4 linked regions of the Oryctolagus cuniculus genome follow. The protein of the gene in region 1 purifies or fractionates together with the protein of each later gene. This does not show direct contact. Links are inferred from orthologs where the notes say so. Each region holds a gene or a part of one and is shown in the gene's direction. Other genes may lie near its edges. The genes, in order: NUP43, NUP133, NUP98 and NUP107.

Region 1 (5,169 bases):
GGATGCTTCGCTCCTTTAGAGCAAACGTAAAAAGCTGCAACCGGTGGAAAACGCCCCAGTGTCCTATGGTGAATGTGTGGTTCTCCCAACGCAAGTGTGCGTTGTCAGTAAACGGAGCCTCACGGATTCCGCTGTGAGGCTGGGCTCGAACCGTGCCCAAGCCCGGGATGGGGAAACTGCCTGTGGCGTCCAAGCTGCAGACTGCGAGCTAGCACGGAGTCTGACAGAATGCAGCCGTCGTTTAGGTCATTCGGTAAACGTTTAGGAAAGAAACAAAGCTGTGTCACCGCGTCTAAGCTCTTAGATCAGCAGCAGTTTTCAAGTTCTCGCGCTTACCAGGTTCTGTCGAATGTGACACTGTTCAAAAATACGCATGTCCTCTTGTCGGGGTTCTGTGGTCGTAAACGAGCCCACACGCAATTGTTCTTTCCGTGGATATATGATAGGAATGAAATTGTCGACTTGGGGCTCATCCGCTTCCCGGGCGCCCGTTCCGTCTCTCCGCAGACGGCTGGCGATCTTCGGCTGCAGAGCAGACCCTGGTAACTCTCACCGAAGCCGGCCGCGGCGGTTACGTTTCGTCCACTCCTTGCACAAACTGTCCCGGTGAAGTGGGACCCCCGACCTCGTAAACCGGCAGCCCGGCACGGCCCCCTTTAAAGAGACAACATATAGTTATGAATACAGCGGTGTAAGAGAGTTGCCAAGGTGGAATAAATCATACCTCTTGGAATCAGTAGGATTTCCACGCTAAGGAGCTTTGGAAAAGGAAACCAGAAACGGGGCAAAATGCGTGCTCTTAGTGATGCAGATACGAAACGTTCTGTTTTATTCTCCTCCTCATCCTCCGCTGAGGCCGTCAGGGAAAGGGTGAAGGGTGGACAGGATTCTGAGAGGAGGAGTGGAAAGGTATTTTAGCCATAACCAAAGGCACTAAAGGAACCCGCAGCACTCATGCCCCAGGCTGTGGACGTTAGGTATCACAAAATCCGTTCTTAATTATGTAATGGAAGTGGAGCCGGTGTTGTGGCACAGTGGTTTTAGCCGCCGATTTGCGTCCTGGCTGTTCCCAGCTTTGACCTGACCCAGCCCTGGCCTAAGCCACCATTTGGGGAGTGAGCCAGCGGATGGAAGAGCTCCCTCTGTGTGTGTGTCTCTCCCTCTCTCTGCAACTCTGCCTTTGAAATAAATCTTTTCTTAAAAAATTACGTATGTAAGTGAGTTGACCAAGGTTACAGTTAGGTAACCTTAGGTAACTGGCAGCAGAACTAAAACTGGAGTCAAAGGTTTAGGATAATAAATTCGTACTTTATTGGAAATAGTGCCATGAAGATTGAAGGATTTTGAGTTGTTTGCTATGCATAGTGACAAGCAGCTGATGTGCCTGCAAGGTGGTTTCCCACGCAGTGATTTTGTTCTTAAGTTATTGCACAAGCACGTTGTCTCCATGTTCCTCCTCTGCATTTGCATGTCGGGTGCAGATCCCACTGCACATAGGCCGGGGCACTCTTGGTTTTGCTCAAAGCCACCTCGCTGATCATGGGCGCCTCAGACCCCTCCTGGTCCGGGCCCGGCAGTGCCTGCACCGCCTTCCGCTGGGAATTGGCCCTTCGCGGCCGCCGTCGCCCGGCGAGCTCCCATCCAATCAGAGCTCCGCGGGAAGGGGCGGAACCCGGAGGCGCGCGGCGCGCGGCTGGCTGTGCCTGCTGCTGTTGCTTTCAGCATGGAGGAGCTGTATGCCAAGTTTGTGTCTGAGAAAATCAGCAAAACCCGCTGGCGGCCGGTGCCTCCGGGGAGCCTGCAGACCGCCGAGACCTTTGCCACGGGCTCTTGGGACAATGAGGTACCCTGGCTCCGGGGCGGGACCCCGGGGCTCCGTCCTCTCCCACGCCCAGGTGCCCTGGAGCGCGCGACTTTCCATCCTCCCCGGCCCCGGGTCCGGGGGCTCGGCTGCAGCCAGCGTGGGTGTGCCCGAGCCCCCGTCTTCTTGTTTCACATTCTGCCCATGCCGTGTGAGATGCTTTGGAGCCCAGGTTGCCTTAAGGCGATACGCATTGGGTTTACTTTCCAGAGTTGACGGTTCTGTCATCTCAAGATGAAGCCGTTTGCTTTACAGGAGAATCACGTTTCACTGTGGTCTATCGGAGATTTCGGAAACCCGGACTCTGATGGAAGCCTGGAAGGAGACCATCGACTGTTGTGCGATATCAAACACCATGGTGACGTCATGGACTTACAGGTAAACGCGTCCAGTGCCCAGAGGCTCGCTTCTAAAGAAAGCCAGAGCAGTGCATTTAGAGTGCAGAGACCTGAGAGCTCTCCTGGCCTCACCCCTAGTTTACAGGAAAGCGAGTTCTCCATAGGTTAGGATTTACCCAACGTAGACTGATCACTTAGTGGCACAACCTCCCAGCTGCAAGCGATTTTTTTATTTTATTATTATTATTTTTTTTTTGACAGGCAAAGTTAGTGAGAGAGACAGGTCTTCCTTCCGTTGGTTCACCCCTCAAATGGCCACCTCGGACGGCGCTGCACCGATCCGAAGCCAGGAGCCAGGTGCCTCCTCCTGGTCTCCCATGCGGGTGCAGGGCCCAAGCACTTGGGCCATCCTCCACTGCCTTTCCGGGCCACAGCAGAGAGCTGGACTGCAAGAGGAGCAACCGGGACAGAATCCGGCGCCCCAGCCGGGACTAGAACCCGGTGTGCCGGCGCCGCAGGCGGAGGATTAGCCTATTGAGCTGCGGTGCCGGCCTGCAAGTGATATTTTTGGAGTTTTACATAAGACCGTTTAATTCTAATTACATGTCTGTGAGTCAGTATTGTTATTTCTATTTTGCCCGTGAGAATGCTAAGAATATTATCTTTCGAGCACACACTGCTAAGGATCTCAAAGTTCATGGAAAATGCATATTATAGATAAACTATGCATGGGCTTTTAAAAATTTTGCACTAGAATGCATTATCTTTTAATTTCATTTTCCATAAACTTCTTGAATTATCCTCATTTGTGACAAATACTGTGCAGGGTAGGTCTTTTAAATTTTTTGATTTCTCATAACCCACCCTGAGTAGGATTAGTACTCCCTGTTTAAAAATACAGATTTTTAAAAATTTACTTATTTGAGAGGTAGAGTTAGAGACAGAGAGAAAGTTCTCGATCTGCTGGTTCACTCCCCAAATGGCTGCAATGGCCATAACTGGGCTGATCTGAAGCCAGGAGCTTCTTCCCAGTCTCCCATGCGGGTGCAGGGGTCCAAGGACTTGGGCCATCCTCTACTGCTTTCTCAGACCATAGCAGAGGGCCGGGTCAGAAGAGGAGCAGCCAGGATGGAAACCAGGGTGCGTGTGAGATGTTGGCCCTGCAGGCGGAAGCTTAGCCTATTGTACCACAGCAGTGGCCTCAGGGAAATTTCTTTTTTAATGTATTTGTTAGAGCTCCCATCAACTGGCTCATTCACCAAAGCCTGCGTCAATCAGGAGCCAAGAGCCAGGAACTCAGTCCAGGTCTCCCATGTGGGTAGCATGGACCCAATTACTTGAGTCATTACCATTGCTTTGCAGGACCTGCGTTAACAGGAAGCTGAAATAAGGAGCCAGAACTGGGTGTTGAACACAGGCATTCTGAACTTGGGCATCTCAACCCAACATCATAGCAAGCCAAATGCCCACCACATTCCAAGGCTTAGAGAATTTAACTTGGCCAACCATTTATTCCTCATGAAAATACCTTTATTTGTATAGCAATGTTAACTTTTAGATCTAACAAATGTTATTTGGGTAGCACTTACAGGCTTTTTACCTTTTACAGTTACGTAATTTGCTATAAATTCAGTTAAACAACGGGTTTCCTCCCTACTAGTTTTTCTGAATCTATAATAAGCAGGAATTTTTCTGTTTAGTTTTTTGACCAGGAAAGAATTGTAGCTGCTTCATCAACAGGATGTGTAACAATTTTCCTTCACCATCCAAATAACCAGGTAAAGAACTTTGGTTTGAAAAGTGAATTTGTATTTTAGTTATTTTTAGAAAGGTGTAAGGAAAACCGTATTTAATAGTTTTAAAGCCTTACGATATGAAGGGGGGGAAAATATCATTACTTTTTGCGAATGTAATTCTAGAACCATGTTTTTGTGAGTTGTTTGTTTGTTTGTTTGTTTGTTTTTGAAAGAGAATTACAGAGAAAGGAGGGGAAAGACAGAAACAGAAAGGTCTTCCTTCCACTGGTTCATTTCTCAGTGGCTGCATCAGCCAGGGGTGGGCCAGACCAAAGCCAGAAGTCAGGAGTTTCTTCCAGGTCTCCTGCTTGGGTGCAGGGGCTCAAGCACTTGGGCCATCCTCTACTGCTTTCCCAGGCCATTAGCAGGGAGCTAAATGGGAAGTGAAGCAGCCAGGACTTGAACCATTGCCCATATGAGATGCCGGCATTGTAGGTGGTGGCTTTACCTGCTACGCCACAGCGCCAGCCCTGTGAGCTGTTATTGAAATTGGGTAAACCTGCAATGCATTCTGTTAGTTTGGATGAAGCAATATGGTAATTTGGCAGGTAATTTTCCATAATTCTTTAAGTTCCTATTCTAGTCTTTTGAAGAAAGAGCCTCTTTTAGCTCAGATACTGTAGCAGAGAACAGGATCGGCTGTCTTGCCTCTGTGGATAGAACTCAGGTCTGCAATTGAAGCCAGCATCTGCTGTATGAAGACATGACTTATTTTTCAGTACTTTCTTGTGTGCTAAAGCCCATCAGGCCCAGCCTGCAGAACCTACTGGTGCAGGCAGTTCCTTAAAACAGCCCCACCAGTAATAACGCAGTTTGAAGTTGCTGGAGGAGAGTGTTCATTTAGGTTTTAAGGTTAAATGCCACCTTACTTACAGGCATGCCTAATAAACATAAGACCCAGATCTCATTAAGTATTTTTCTTAATGGAGTCACTTATGAGAGACTGTAGCGATTTATTTATTAGATGTACTCATTCCCATAAAAATTTAGTTGTTTTTGAACATTCAACTACCTCTTACCTAAAAACAATTATGTTAGTTTGAGATAAATGTGGAACATTGTTAGACCACATTCGTTTTCAGCCTAGTTCAGTGTGCACAGAGCTTTGGCAGTAATTGAGTATCAATACTGTAAAGGAGAAAGGAGAGTTTTGTTTTGTTTTGTTTTTGTTTTG
Region 2 (5,266 bases), on another chromosome or scaffold:
CAACCCAATAATCTGAGAAATGCTGGAACTTTCTTAAGGGCTGTAGGAATAGGAATTTGCTCTGTGGCTTGTATCCTCTCTGGGGCTAGTCTTCTCTCCCCAGGGGTGAGGACAGTCCCTAAATAATTAACTTCCTGGAGGACTAGGTGTGCTTTCTCCTTGGATACCCAGTAGCCACATCCTGCTAGGAAGTCTTTCTGACCTCCAGGACTTGTCCTGGAAGTGACAAGCAGTGGCCCTGGCCACTGTGGGAGCTTAGTTACTATTATAGCTTAGTGTAGAAGTACAGCTTCTAAAACAGGAATAAGTTTCAAGCATCTCGATGGTGCTGGGCTGCTCTGGGCTTGACCTTTCCCAGCCAGACACAGTACAATGGAGATGATAAACCTGGTGCAATGGCACCTGATTTTCCTTGTTCCCAAGAAAGGACCTAAGTGGAATGGGTTGCCTGTTGCTCATCTGACAGCATGGTGCTTCCCTCCAGATGCTTGGCAAAATAAACCGATTAGGGTTACTTTGTTTCACCCTGTTCCTAGTTCTGCTACTGATCACCTTAAAGAGCTTCCTGGTATTTACCAAGTTTTCCTGTTATTGTTAGTGTTTGTTACTAAGAGTTAATGAGTAAGTCCTAGCAGCTCTGAGATCTCGGGGTAAAGAAGCTAAATAGTTTTGTGCATACCTTGCTTTGCTCTGATAAATTTAAGGAGTTTTAAACTAAGTGTTAAGTTTTGATGATACTGTATCTGTACTTGGATGATGTTAATGATTACCCCATTGTAGTTCAGTAAAAATGAAGAGCAAGAGAAAAAATATAGACTAGGGGTACAAAGGATAAAGGGCTATCTACCCCTGAGAAGATAGCACTGAACTAAAACTAGATGCTTGAGCCAACAGGGGAGGGAAGGGCATTCTAGTGAGAGAAACATGCAAGGGTACTGCAGTAGGATGTGGGTTTTTGAAATTCTTCCAATGTCAAGTGCAGTGGTGGGAATAGCATAGGGACAAAAAAAAAAAAAAAGCCAGAAAGAATTTTTTTAAATGTATTGCTATATTTATTTGCAAAGAAAAGCAATACAGGAGAGACAAAGAGCTGTTCCATCTGTGGATTCAGGTTCACTCCCCAAAGAAGGCAGGGCCACGTGAAGCCAGGAACTGCTTCCTCGGCTCCCACGTGGGTGGCAGGGGCCCAAGTATTTGGGCCATCCTCTGCTGCCTTAGCAGGCGCATTAGCAGGAAGGAGTAGCTGGGACTCAAACTGGCACTCCCATATGGGGTGCCAGCATTGCATTGTGCGTGTAGCATTAATCCACTGCCCCTGCCCCAGCCAGCCAGAATTAAATAACAAAGCATCTGGCAAAGGAATTTAGCAAATAACCCACGGTCATTTTACACGACCAAGATCTTGCAGGTCTGCCTTTACTTAATTGTGTTGGACACACAGGTGGAGTAAGGCTACACAGATTGGAGTAGGGCTACAGAGGCCAGGAGACGCTCCCCTTCCCCCCCAAACGGGCTGTGCAGTGACCCAGGAAGAGGTAAGGAGGGCAGAGTCAGCGCGAATGTGAGAGCTACAGTTCCGGGCATGGTAGGGTGGAGGTCAGCGTGAAGCAGGACCAAGGGCTAGGGCTCTTCTTTTTTACCTTACGGGACAGAGGCGGTAGGAAGACAGGCGTCCTAAAGGGAAACGTGGATTCAGCCTTTAGAAAGAGGATTCTTAGGAGTCTGCAGGCTGCGCAGGAGGGAGTGTGCACTAGGGAGCGGCTGGGGGTCTAGAATTTGGGGTTTGGATCTGGGTTTGCGCGGACGAGACTGTACAGGGTTGTATGGGGAAATGGCAAACCTAGAGAAAAACAAATGGAACATTTCAAGTGAAACCAGAGTCAACTTCACGGTATTTCTCCTCCCAAAGAATGGACTCTAAAATATCTTCCATTTCCCGAGACGCTCAAGAACCACCAGCGTGGGGAAAAGCTTTACGTTCAGGTGCAGGACCAGTGCCACCTAGAGCAGCCGAGAAAGCTCTTAGCTTTTCACTTCCACGCACCTGCAAGGTCGAAAACCCCCCAGCTTGGGATCGCGCGTAAGGGGCCCCCACCTTCTTTTCTACGGACTTAGCGAAACGGCGCCTCGGCGCTAAGCTTGACGTCATCACCGCGCGCCAGCCCATCTCCGTCTACGCCGTCGCGCCGCGCCGCGCCGCCCCGGACGTCATCACTAGGCGCCCCTCCCGCCTCGGGTGTTCAATTTTCAGTCGCAAGTCTTGCTCGTGTTCTACGACTGGAACTTCCTCGGGCCATGTTCCCGGCCGTTCCTTCTCCGCGGACCCCGGGTCCTGGGTCCCGAAGGGGCCCGCCGGCTGGAGTCGGGGCGGGTTCCACGCCCCGAACGGCCAGCCGGCGAGGTCTGTCTCTGGGCTCTGCGGTCAGCTCTCCCGCTCTCTTCTCTCCCGTAGGCCGGCGGAGCTCGCTGAGCTCGCGGTAGGTGGTCGCCCCGGGTTGGTTCCAGCGATTGGTAGGCTTCAGGTCGCGGTGGGCCCGTGAGGTGGGGGTTCTGGAAACCTTGGGCACTAGCAGCAGCCGAGGGTCGGGGGAAGTGGGCTGAATAGACCTTCTCGCGGCTTATTTTAGTGTCACGTGATTAACTTCATACGTTCGGGGAAAACTGGGGTTGGCTTTCAAAAAGTTTCAGTTTATATGACATTTAGCATAAATGGGTCCATTTTGGTTTGTCTGTGTGTTGAGGGCCAGCTCAGGCGAAGTCCAAAACCATGGTTCCCGTAATTTTCATTTAACAGTTTCTACTTAATGCTAAGGGTATTAGCGCTACTCACTATTACTATAATTCTGGCTTTCCAGTCTTATTTGAGAGTTACAGACAGAGAGGGAGAAACAGAGAGAGGTCTTCCATGGCTACGATGGCCAGAGCTGGGCCAGTCTAAAGCCAGGAGCTTTTTCCAGGGAGATTTTGGGTCATGTACTGCTTTCCCAGGCTGTAGCAGAGAGTTGGATCGGAAGAGCAGCCAGGACTCAAACGAGCACCCTATAGGATGCCGGCACTGCAGGCAGAGGCTTAGCCTACTGTGCCTCAGTGCTGGCCCCATTCTGTGTGATCTTGACATAGCAGTTCAGGAAGCCATTAGTTTGTTCATTAAAGTTCTAGAATTTCTTACCCAGTCCAGTGGTAGATTGTAGTTCCAGAAATTGACATTTGAGTCCTTTTGTAAATCTCTTTAAAGAAAAAGTAATATTGGACTGTGGCTCTTTGTAGATGCTTCAAAACCACTCTCTGTCTATGACAAATACTTAGAACAGCCATGACTGGAAATAGGACAGTTCATTATAACCAGCCATTTACAAAATGTAGTTCTTCCTATGATATTCATAAAAACCAGAGTTCAGACTGATAACACTAGATTTATAGGAATCTCATATAATTTTTGGAATACTCAAGTCAATAGGGTATCATAAATATAGCTTAAAGTTTAGCAGCACTTACAGTTTGGTAATGCTTCTAATGTAATTTAACATACAAGTATATCCCTTGTGACTTTGCAGAGATCCAACTGGAAAATCCCAAATTCAAGGTCAAAATCAAAAAGACTCCAGTTGGAGTTTTATTTGGGCATGTTTGTCAAAAATGTTAGAAGATTTAAAACATTTAATTAGATATGATTTTAGTGCTCTGTTTTATCAAGATGATGAAAGATTTTAAAGGCAAATACATTTTGCCTTTCATGACTGTGAACAGAAACTGTACTCATGAAGAAGACTCACACTTTTCTTAAATGGAGAAGCTGAGAGAAGCTTAAGGATCTGATGCCCAGTTTTCTAAGTCCTGAAAAATTTTTTTTATGGAAAAATACATTTAAATACACAGTATACATAAGCCAGTGGTGTTTGTTTTTAAATATTAATTTATTTGAAAAGCAGAGTCAGGGAGGGAGGGAGAGAAAGAGATCTTCCATTCACCGATTCACTCCCCAAAATGGCCACAACAGCCAGAGCTAGGCTGCTCCAAAGCCATGAGCCAGAGTTTCTTCCAGGTCTCTCACATGGGTGCAGGGACTCATATGGGCCATGCTCTGCTGCTTTCCCAGACACATTAACAGGGAGCTGGATTGGAAGTGGAACAGCCGGAACTCGAACCAGCACCCATATAGGATGTCGGGGTCGCAGACGGCAGCTTTACCACCACAACACCGGCCCCAATCCAATGGTTTTTTTTCCACGGTTGCACTTCATGTTGTGTATCAAGATACCTCTGTTGTGTAAATCTAGATAAAAATTAGGATAATGATCCATTGTATGTGATAAATGAAATAGTATGGTTTCTTTCCTTAGAGGAACGCCTACACGAATATTCCCACAGCACTCCATATCTGAGACTGTGAACTACGATGTCAAGACCTTTGGATCTTCTCTCCCTGTCAAAGTCATGGAAGCCCTAACGTTGGCTGAAGGTAGGCATCGTCTTTCCACTCGCCTCTGTTAGCAATTCTGATTGGAGCCCAGATCTGCCATGGAGATGGGCATTTGTGCTTCCTCTGATATACCTACACTTAAGCGAATAGAAATGGCTAGCTGTCTAGTGTTTCAACTGTAATTGAGATACGTAATGAATTTGAGAAGCAGTATGAGTTCATTGTGGCACAGTCACATTCAGTCTTAAGTGGCTTTAGGAACTGTATATGAATAGTTAGTCCAATTTGAAAAGTTGATCAGGTATATGAAGTTTAGTTTTTTAAAAAAAAGGAGTGCCATGCGTTACTTGGCAGTACAGTCAAGTCCTACCTCCATTTCTGGATCCTGTGTAGTACCTGAGAGGCTGTGTACACAAATTCATGAGGTTACCACTGTGATGTGCCTTCAAAAGGTTCTGTTGGCAGAGAAATAGTGTGGCAGTTGGAAGATGCAAAGAATACAAGCTTAGAAAAGCAGCATTAAGGGCCAATAGTGGCAAAATGGGGTAAGCCAACACTTGCGGCACTGGCATCCAGTATCAGATTGTGAGTCCTGGCTACTCCACTTCCTGTCTGCTCCCTGCTAAGTGACCAGGGAAGGCAGTGAAAGAGGACCCAAGTGCTTGCATTTCTGCTATCCACGTGAAAAGACCCAGATGGGGCTCCTGGCTCCTGGCTCCTGGCTCCTGCCTGGTCCACACTTGATTGTTAGGGGAATTTAGGGAGTGGATCTGCTGATGGAGCATTTTGCTCTCTTTCCATTTCTGTCACTCTGCCTTGCAGATAAAGAAAAACAACTTGAAGGTT
Region 3 (4,579 bases), on another chromosome or scaffold:
TTACTAAGTGTATTCTTTTAAAAAATGTAAAATTCCTAGACACTTTGTATTTGTACCTTGTTCTCTTTTCAATGACTTCTGGCTACAAGGCAATGTGAGGGCAGGGTGATACTGTGTAAATCAGAAAATTGTGTTAATTTCAGGTAAGACATAATCTTTTGTTTCTAAAGACTATCACTTATTACAAAAGAATGATTCCATGAATCCTCATTCAGATGCCAAGTACTTATTGGTGGGTATTGGGATAATTACTGTTAAATCCTCTTCAGCACCTCATGATGGAATTGGTAAAATCTAACATTGCTGTATCATATTCTGAATAAACTGAATCTGATCTAGAAGCTCCGTGTTTATTTGGTTTAATTTAATGCTGCTTCCCTGATGTTTCTGCTGTCTACAGAGTCAGAGTCCAGAGGTGGAACAGTTAGGGAGGGTTGTGGAACTGGACAGTGACATGATAGATATCACCCAGGAGCCAGTTTTGGATTCCATGTTAGAAGAGAGCGTGCCTGAAGATCAGGAACCTGTGTCTGCTTCCACGCACATTGCATCTTCACTGGGAATTAATCCACATGTTTTACAGGTGATGTCCTAATCCACAGTTATTACAACAGATAGCCCAACTAATATTTTATCTCTCTTGAGTAACACCAGGCTTAATAAGACTGTCGAGTGGTCACTGTATGAGGAAAACAAAAATAAGAATTTGGTCAGTGTTTGGGCATCATTTTCCCATTCAGGGAAAGAAAGATATATTGGGATGTAGAGCTTCTGGTTTTTTAAGGGTATTAGTATCAGGTGATCTGGATTCTAATCCCAGTTTTGTGAATTTATTACTGTGTGACAGTCATTTAACGTCTGTGAGCACTGACTTCTGTAAAACATAACTTTTTCTACTTTGAAGGTTGTTTTTGAGGCTTTGTAAAGTGTTCCACAAAATTTTAAAGTTTCTGTAAACCCTGTCTCTACTTCACCTTGCCCATGCCAAAAGGCATGAGTTTAGCTTTTGGCTTGTGCTTATGTTTGATTTTAAAATTATTTATTAAGACCTCAGCAGTTGCTATATGCCAGGTTCTGGTGAGACACATTGTAATGAAATCAGTAACACAAATATTACAGTATTTCTGGACACTATCTTAAGAAGTAATTTTTTTTGGTTGTTGTAAACTGTATCTTTTAGTAGCCTTTCAGTTTCAGAGAGCACATTCATTGTGTGTCTGTGTATATACATATTGCCTTTTTAGATCATGAAAGCATCACTGCTTGCTGATGAAGAAGATATAGACATGATGCTGGATCAGCGCTTCAGTCATGTTCCTTCCAAAGCAGATGCTTCTCAAGAAATCTGTTCTCCCAGACTCCCCATTTCAGCATCCCACCCATCAAAATCTCGTTCACTAGGTATTGTATAAATACGCTGTTTTACAAGAAAGCTGTAGAGTCATCAAGTTCCACGTTTCATATATCTCCTGTGCTGAGTAGATTTCCAGAATGTATCTCCCTAACAGCCATACCTCTGACATAAGAATGTTAAGAGAGCTCACACTCTTATATTAGGAGTGTCCAGTTTTTTAAGAACTATAATTACTTCTGTTGGTGAAGATGCAGAAATTGTATGGAGAGTATAGTATTTGTGCTTTGCTTAGGGTCATGCTTTTGTTTGCTTATGAGTATGAATTAAATAAGTTCCAATTTCCAAATTTTTATCACAAGTTACTTTGAGGATTTAACAAGTTGTCCTACATTGGACTCTCTGTGTAGTCCTAATGCTATCTCAGTGCCTTATGAGGAAATCTTTGCCTTTTGATAATTCATAGAATTCATCAAGATTCAAGATTCCAATTTTCCCTAAGCTTTTTGCCTAGTGGACTAGTAACTTGGTGGAATTGGAGGTAGGGTATTACTATAAACAGAACACTTGAACAGTTAAGTGAATATTAAGTTGTGGTCATTGGAGCAGCAGTTAAGATGTCATTTGGGATACTTGCATACTATAATGAAATTTCTGGATTGGAATCCATTCAAGTTCCCTGGGAGGCAGCAGGTGATGGCTTATATAGTTGTATCTCTGCTACCTGGGATTGAATTCCTGGCTCCCAAAACTCAAACCGGCACCCATATGGGATGTTGGCAGTGGGGGCAGCGGCTTTACCTGCCATGCCACAGCTCTGGCCCCATGCTGCTCCACTTTTTTTTTTTTTACCCCTCCAGTAGAGGGCGCACTCTTGCGAGCGGCTTTTGTAGCCAGTTGCTTCCTGGGTGCTTTACCACCAGTCAATTTGCGGCAGTCTGCCCTGTATGAGCCATGGTATAAAGACCTCCCTACTTACCACACTTCTCCTTCAGCTGGAGCTCGGCGAGCGAGAGGCCGCGCTGGCGTTAGAGAGCAACGGCGGCACGGCTACTGCTCCACTTTCAATCCATCTTCTTGCTAATGCAGCTGGGAAGGCAGTGGATGATGGCCCAATTGCTTGGGCTGCTGCCACCCTTCTGGGAGACTGGGATGAAGTTTCTGACTCCTGAGTTTGACCTAGCACAAACCTGGCTGTTGTGGCCATCTGGGGAATGAATAAGCAGGTTAAAGACATTTCTCTCTCTTTCTTGGGGTCTCTCTAAGTCTTTGTCACTCTGCTTTTCAGACAATTCAGTTAATAAATCCTTTTAAAAAATTGTGGATTAGGCAATTCTTTTTTTTTTTTTTATTTTTTTATTTTTTTTTTTTTTTATTTTTGACAGGCAGAGTGGACAGTGAGAGAGAGAGAGACAGAGAGAAAGGTCTTCCTTTGCCGTTGGTTCACCCTCCAATGGCTGCCACGGCCGGCGCGCTGCGGCCGGCGCACCGCGCTGATCCGATGGCAGGAACCAGGAGCCAGGTGCTTTTCCTGGTCTCCCATGTGGGTGCAGGGCCCAAGCACCTGGGCCATCCTCCACTGCACTCCCTGGCCACAGCAGAGGGCTGGCTTGGAAGAGGGGCAACCGGGACAGAATCCGGCGCCCCGACCGGGACTAGAACCCGGTGTGCCGGCGCCGCTAGGCGGAGGATTAGCCTAGTGAGCCGCGGCGCCGGCCCGGATTAGGCAATTCTAATAAGAACTTTTCCTCAGAAAAGTACATGTGCAATCATAAGAATTTTCAATATTTTTTTCTTTAACTCGTAACAGAAGGTAGGAATTTGAGTTTTGATCTTTGATCTTACTAAGCTCTTATAAGGACTAAGAAAGTTATTTTGAATTTTTTAAAAAGATTTATTTACTTATTTATTTGAAAGAGAGATAGAAAGCTTCCATCTGCTCTTTGAGACCCCCAAATGTCTGCAACAATGGAACTGAGCCAGGCCAAACCCAGGAGTCTGGAATTTCGTGCAGGTCTCCCACATGGGTGTATCTCCCAAGTACTTAAACCATCTTCTGTTGCTTTCCCAGATGCATTAAAAGGGAACTGCATTAGAAGTGGAGCAGGTGGGACTCAAACCAGCACCCATGGGATCCTGGTATTAGAGGCAGCAACATAACCTGCTGTGCCACAGTCCTGTCTCCTTTTATCAGACATGGTGTTCCATTTGACTTTTTGATACATTTATAGATTGTGTAATGTCCACTCAGGGGAAATACATCTCTGTTCAAACATTTAACAGTTCTTTAAAAAACATCCAAAATCCTATCATGGATTTGTTGTGTGTGTATGTGTGTGTGTGTGTTTTTAGTAACATAAATATATAAGAATTAACCATGTGTAATCTTCACACATTTGGAATTTTTATTTAAAGTTTTTATTATTTATAATTATATAATTAATATATATTATATAATATAATTAATTATATGAAAAGCAGAATGACAGAGGGAAAGGGAGAAACGAGAGAGAGAGAGATCTTCAGTCCATTGGTTCTCTCCCCAAATGACATCAAGGGCCGAGGCTGAGTCAGACCAAAGCCATGAGCCAGGAACCCCATCCAGGTCTCCCATGTGGATGGCAGGGGCTGCAAGTACTTGGGCCATCTGCTGCTGCTTTCCAAGATGTATTGGCAGGGAGCTGGACTAGAAGGAGTGTACCTGGGACTTGAACCAATGCTCCAATAAAGCATTGGTATCATAGGCAGTGACTTAACACACTGCTCTGCAATGCCTGCCCCCCACATTTGGGATTTTGGTATGGGCTTAGTACTGGTAACAGACCTCCCTGTACTTTCCCTGCCAGTCCTGGTATTTGGTAGATTTTTTGAGTTTGTACAAGCTACCACTTACTTGAAACCAGTTTTCTTACTTACAAAAATGGGGTGGTGATAATTCTTCCTGTCTAAAGTTACTGTAGAATGAAATGAAATAATAATGTGCACAGATGCTTGTAGAGCATGCTACAAATAAGCTCTAAATAATTTTTCAAAAATTTTAGTGTATTGTTTGTTAATATTATTGCTCTTATTGTTGACACCATCATCATTATAGTTGCTGCTTTGATTTCCTGGTTGAAAGAGTAGTTGCTGCAAAAGATGATCTAACTTCCTTCTGGTCATGTGTGTCTGATTTAGTTAGCTGATGATTTCAACTTTGCTGACTTTTGTTGTTCAGGAAATAATAGG
Region 4 (3,604 bases), on another chromosome or scaffold:
ACACAAGCAAGTTTATTAGAAACACAAGTTCAGAAGCATTTTATTTTCATGATTACACTGTGTTCTCTGTGGTATACTTTATTCATCTTCAGGCTTTTTTGCTATAAAATCCTGTTGTCTACATCCCATGATTGAAGCTCTGCCTTATAAAACCCTGTTTTATTCTTTATTCTTTTTTTTTTTTTTTTTTTTTTTTTTCCGACAGGCAGAGTTAGACAGTAAGAGAGAGAGAGACAGAGAGAAAAGTCTTCCTTCCATTGGTTCACCTCCCAAATGGCCGCTAAGGTCGGTGTGCTGCGCCGATCCGAAGCCAGGAGCCAGGAGCCAGGTGCTTCTCCTGGTCTCCCATGCGGGTGCAGGGCCCAAGCACTTGGGCCATCCTCCACTTCCTTACCGGGCCACAGCAGAGAGCTGGACTGGAAGAGGAACAACCAGGACAGAACTGGCTCCCCAACTGGGACTAGAACCCGGAGTGTCGGCGCGATTAGCCTAATGAGCCACGGCGCCGGCCCTCTTTATTTTTTAAGATTTATTTATTTATTTATTTGAAAAGCAGAGCTACAGAGAGGCAGAGAGAGAAGGAGAGGTCTTCCATCTGCTGGTTCACTCTCCAAATGGCCACAACGGCCAGAGCTGAGCTGATCCGAAGCCAGGATCCAGGAGCTTCTTCCGGGTCTCCCACGTGGGTGCAGGGGCCCAAGGACTTGGGCCATCTTCTACTGCTTTCCCAGGCCATAGCAGAGAGCTGGACAGGAAGTGGAGCAGCCAGGTCTCGACCAGCACCCATATGGGATGCCGGCACTGCAGGCGGTGGCCTTACCCAATACACCATAGTGCCAGCTCCTGTTTTATTCTTAACAGGCATGAAAAGCTTTAGAAAAATGTCTTAGCTTCTGCCTGTTTTGGCTTAGATTCAGGAAAGTTGTCCCTCAGTGTCCTTTGGGGACTGGATCCAGGACCCCCTGCAGATACCTAAGTCCACAGATCCTCATATCCCTTATTCCATAAAACAGTACAGTATTTGCATCTAACCCCAATACGTCTTCCTGTAAATTTTATGTTATCTCTATATTATAAACCTAATAGAAGTGCTCTGTAAGTAATTGTCACATGGGGATACGACAAGGAGAGAAATGTGTAGTCTCCAGTTGGCTAAATCCACAGCTTTGGAACCCATGGACATGGAGGGGGCTGGCTTAGTCTTGCTGCTTTATCGGGCTGCTTTGGCTTGTGGTTGTTGAAGTGCCTGTTGGTGTCCGTGTAGGATGCTGAGGAAGACCATGAAAGAACGCACCAGATGGCTTTGCTGAGAAAGCTCTGCCTGCCCATGCTGTGCTTTCTGCTGCACACCATCCTGCACAGCACCGGCCAGCACCAGGAGTGCCTGCAGCTAGCAGATATGGTGTCCTCCGAGCGCCACAAACTGTATCTGGTAAGTGCTGGAGCGCGTGCAGCCTGCAACTGGGATTCCACTCTCCTCCGCTTTGTGAAGGTGTGTTTGCGTTTTTCAGTTGCTCTTGGGTTTTCTGAAGGTAGTGGTCCAGTTTTAATATGTGTGCTTTCTTCCTCTGAAACATGTATATGCATTCAGCAGAAGCTAGAAGTTCTTTGATTTTTTAAAGTTTTTATTTCTTTATTTGAAAGGCAAAAGGACAGAGAGAGGGAAAGAGATATCTTCCATCTGCTGGTTCACTCCCCAAGTATCTGCAGTAACCAGGGCTGGGCCAGGATTCTGGAATTCCATCTGGGTCTCCCATGTGGGTGGCAGGGACCCAAGAACTTATTGGTCCGTCATCTGTTTCCTCCCAGGCACATTAGCAGGAGGAAGCCTGATTGAAAGCAGAGGAGCCAGGACTCAGACCGACACTCCCAGATGGAATCCTGGTGTCCTAAGCTGTGGCTTACCCACTGCACCGGAACACCCACCTAGACGTTATAGACCAAGAAAAATAGTCCCTCAGCTTCTCTGACAAGGCTGTGGTCACAAAATCCTTCAAAAGGAACTTCTTGTATGAAGCTAGTAATTGATTAGGTAACTACAAGTTCATATTTTCATCATTACTTTTTTCTCTTTTAAAATCAGGTATTTTCTAAGGAAGAACTAAGGAAATTGCTGCAGAAGTTAAGGGAATCCTCGCTGATGCTTCTTGACCAGGGACTTGATCCTCTAGGATATGAAATTCAGTCGTAATTCGTCCAAGCTTTGTATGCCTACTAATTTCCAGGGTGAATGGGGAGGTTTTTTTATATATATATTAAAATATACATATTTGTAATTACGGGATTTTCTTTTGCATCATTTTGGGAAAAGATGTAAAATTTAGACATTTGAATTTTGTATTTTTCAGAATATTATGGTAACACTTTGAAAATTTAATGTATTATATCAGTATTTCCCTAATTGTGTTTTTTAATAAAAGCATATAAAAATTAAAATATTCTGATCTTACAAATTCAAGAATTGTCTATTATGTAATAGGGAACTTAAATTTCTTGTGGTTTTTTTGCTATAATTTTAAGTACACTGGTATCTTAAAATTATAAAGAAAATGGAAAGTAGATTCATTTTCAAGTTGGGTACATAATTTATCGTAAAATTTAATATAAAATTAATCATAACATTTTTAATTTTTTTTAAAGACTTATTTATTTATTTGAAAGTTAGAGTTACACAGAGAGAGGAGAGGCAGAGAGAGAGGTCTTCCATCCAATGATTCACTCCCCAGACGGCCGCAACAGCCGGAGCTGCACTGATCCGAAGCCAGGAGCCAGGAGCTTCTTCCGGGTCTCTCACGTGGGTGCAGAGGCCCAAGGACCTGGGCCATCTTGTACTGCTTTCCCAGGCCATAGCAGAGAGCTGGATTGGAAGAGGAGCAGCTGGGACTAGAACCAGCGCCCATATGGGATGCTGGTCTTCAGGCCAGGGCGTTAACCTGCTGTGCCACAGCGCCGGCCCAACATTTTTAATTTTTAAATATGGAAATTAAGATGAATGTAGCAAGAGTGTTTTCAAAATAATACTATGCTTTTATTTTGAAGATATATCTACTTATTCAGCAAATGTATTGAGATCGGTTGGAGCATGTAAGTCTTGGTACACAGTAGGCACTGAACACAGTGGGAAATACAAAATGAATAAGATCTATTCTAGCCCTCCAGTGGGGATATATATGTGTGCCATGTGATATACTGTATAAAAATAAATGTAAGATATGCTATTCAGATCTGAGCTGGAAGAAACTATCTCCAGCCAACAGATCTCTGAGCAACAGCACTGGGGCTGAGATTTGAGTAAGGTGCTGAATTTTCCAAGATAAAAAAATAAGACAGAAGGAGAGTGAGCTCCTATAGATGAGGAGTCAGTATGAGAAAAGCCCAGAAACAGTAAATGTTGGGCATGTTTCTGAACCAGCAAATATGCTGAATTGGCTAGCATGTGGAGCTTATGAACGGGAGGTAACTAAAAGAGAGAATGTGGTTGTCATAGAAAATATGATCTTACTGAATAAGATCTTTAAAAACTTAAAAAAAAAAGAGAGAGAGAGAAGAGAAAAAGAAAAAGATGCCCTGGAATCTTAACTCCCAGAGCTGGCTTCTGATCTGA

The links.
Region 2: the proteins of NUP43 (region 1) and NUP133 purify together in Homo sapiens (affinity purification with mass spectrometry; 5 studies listed by BioGRID and IntAct, counting the BioPlex papers as one, with this or other methods). This does not show direct contact. The link is inferred for Oryctolagus cuniculus from reciprocal best matches to the Homo sapiens genes NUP43 and NUP133.
Region 3: the proteins of NUP43 (region 1) and NUP98 purify together in Homo sapiens (affinity purification with mass spectrometry; 4 studies listed by BioGRID and IntAct, counting the BioPlex papers as one, with this or other methods). This does not show direct contact. The link is inferred for Oryctolagus cuniculus from reciprocal best matches to the Homo sapiens genes NUP43 and NUP98.
Region 4: the proteins of NUP43 (region 1) and NUP107 purify together in Homo sapiens (affinity purification with mass spectrometry; 8 studies listed by BioGRID and IntAct, counting the BioPlex papers as one, with this or other methods). This does not show direct contact. The link is inferred for Oryctolagus cuniculus from reciprocal best matches to the Homo sapiens genes NUP43 and NUP107.

Annotation. Positions count from the first base shown.
Region 1 is NC_091436.1:18,267,858-18,273,026, forward strand, and holds the start of NUP43 (nucleoporin Nup43), read left to right. Parts: upstream 1-1,652; 5' UTR 1,653-1,723; coding exon 1,724-1,843; intron 1,844-2,116; coding exon 2,117-2,239; intron 2,240-3,899; coding exon 3,900-3,977; intron 3,978-5,169. UniProt on the Homo sapiens protein: Component of the Nup107-160 subcomplex of the nuclear pore complex (NPC). The Nup107-160 subcomplex is required for the assembly of a functional NPC.
Region 2 is NC_091444.1:90,255,175-90,260,440, reverse strand, and holds the start of NUP133 (nuclear pore complex protein Nup133), read left to right. Parts: upstream 1-2,188; 5' UTR 2,189-2,295; coding exon 2,296-2,477; intron 2,478-4,340; coding exon 4,341-4,459; intron 4,460-5,266. UniProt on the Homo sapiens protein: Involved in poly(A)+ RNA transport. Involved in nephrogenesis.
Region 3 is NC_091432.1:63,189,293-63,193,871, forward strand, and holds part of NUP98 (nuclear pore complex protein Nup98-Nup96), read left to right. Parts: exon of another isoform or gene 1-341; intron 342-400; coding exon 401-583; intron 584-1,244; coding exon 1,245-1,401; intron 1,402-4,579. UniProt on the Homo sapiens protein: Plays a role in the nuclear pore complex (NPC) assembly and/or maintenance. NUP98 and NUP96 are involved in the bidirectional transport across the NPC. May anchor NUP153 and TPR to the NPC.
Region 4 is NC_091442.1:71,107,622-71,111,225, forward strand, and holds the end of NUP107 (nuclear pore complex protein Nup107), read left to right. Parts: intron 1-1,264; coding exon 1,265-1,432; intron 1,433-2,083; coding exon 2,084-2,191; 3' UTR 2,192-2,458; downstream 2,459-3,604. UniProt on the Homo sapiens protein: Plays a role in the nuclear pore complex (NPC) assembly and/or maintenance. Required for the assembly of peripheral proteins into the NPC. May anchor NUP62 to the NPC. Involved in nephrogenesis.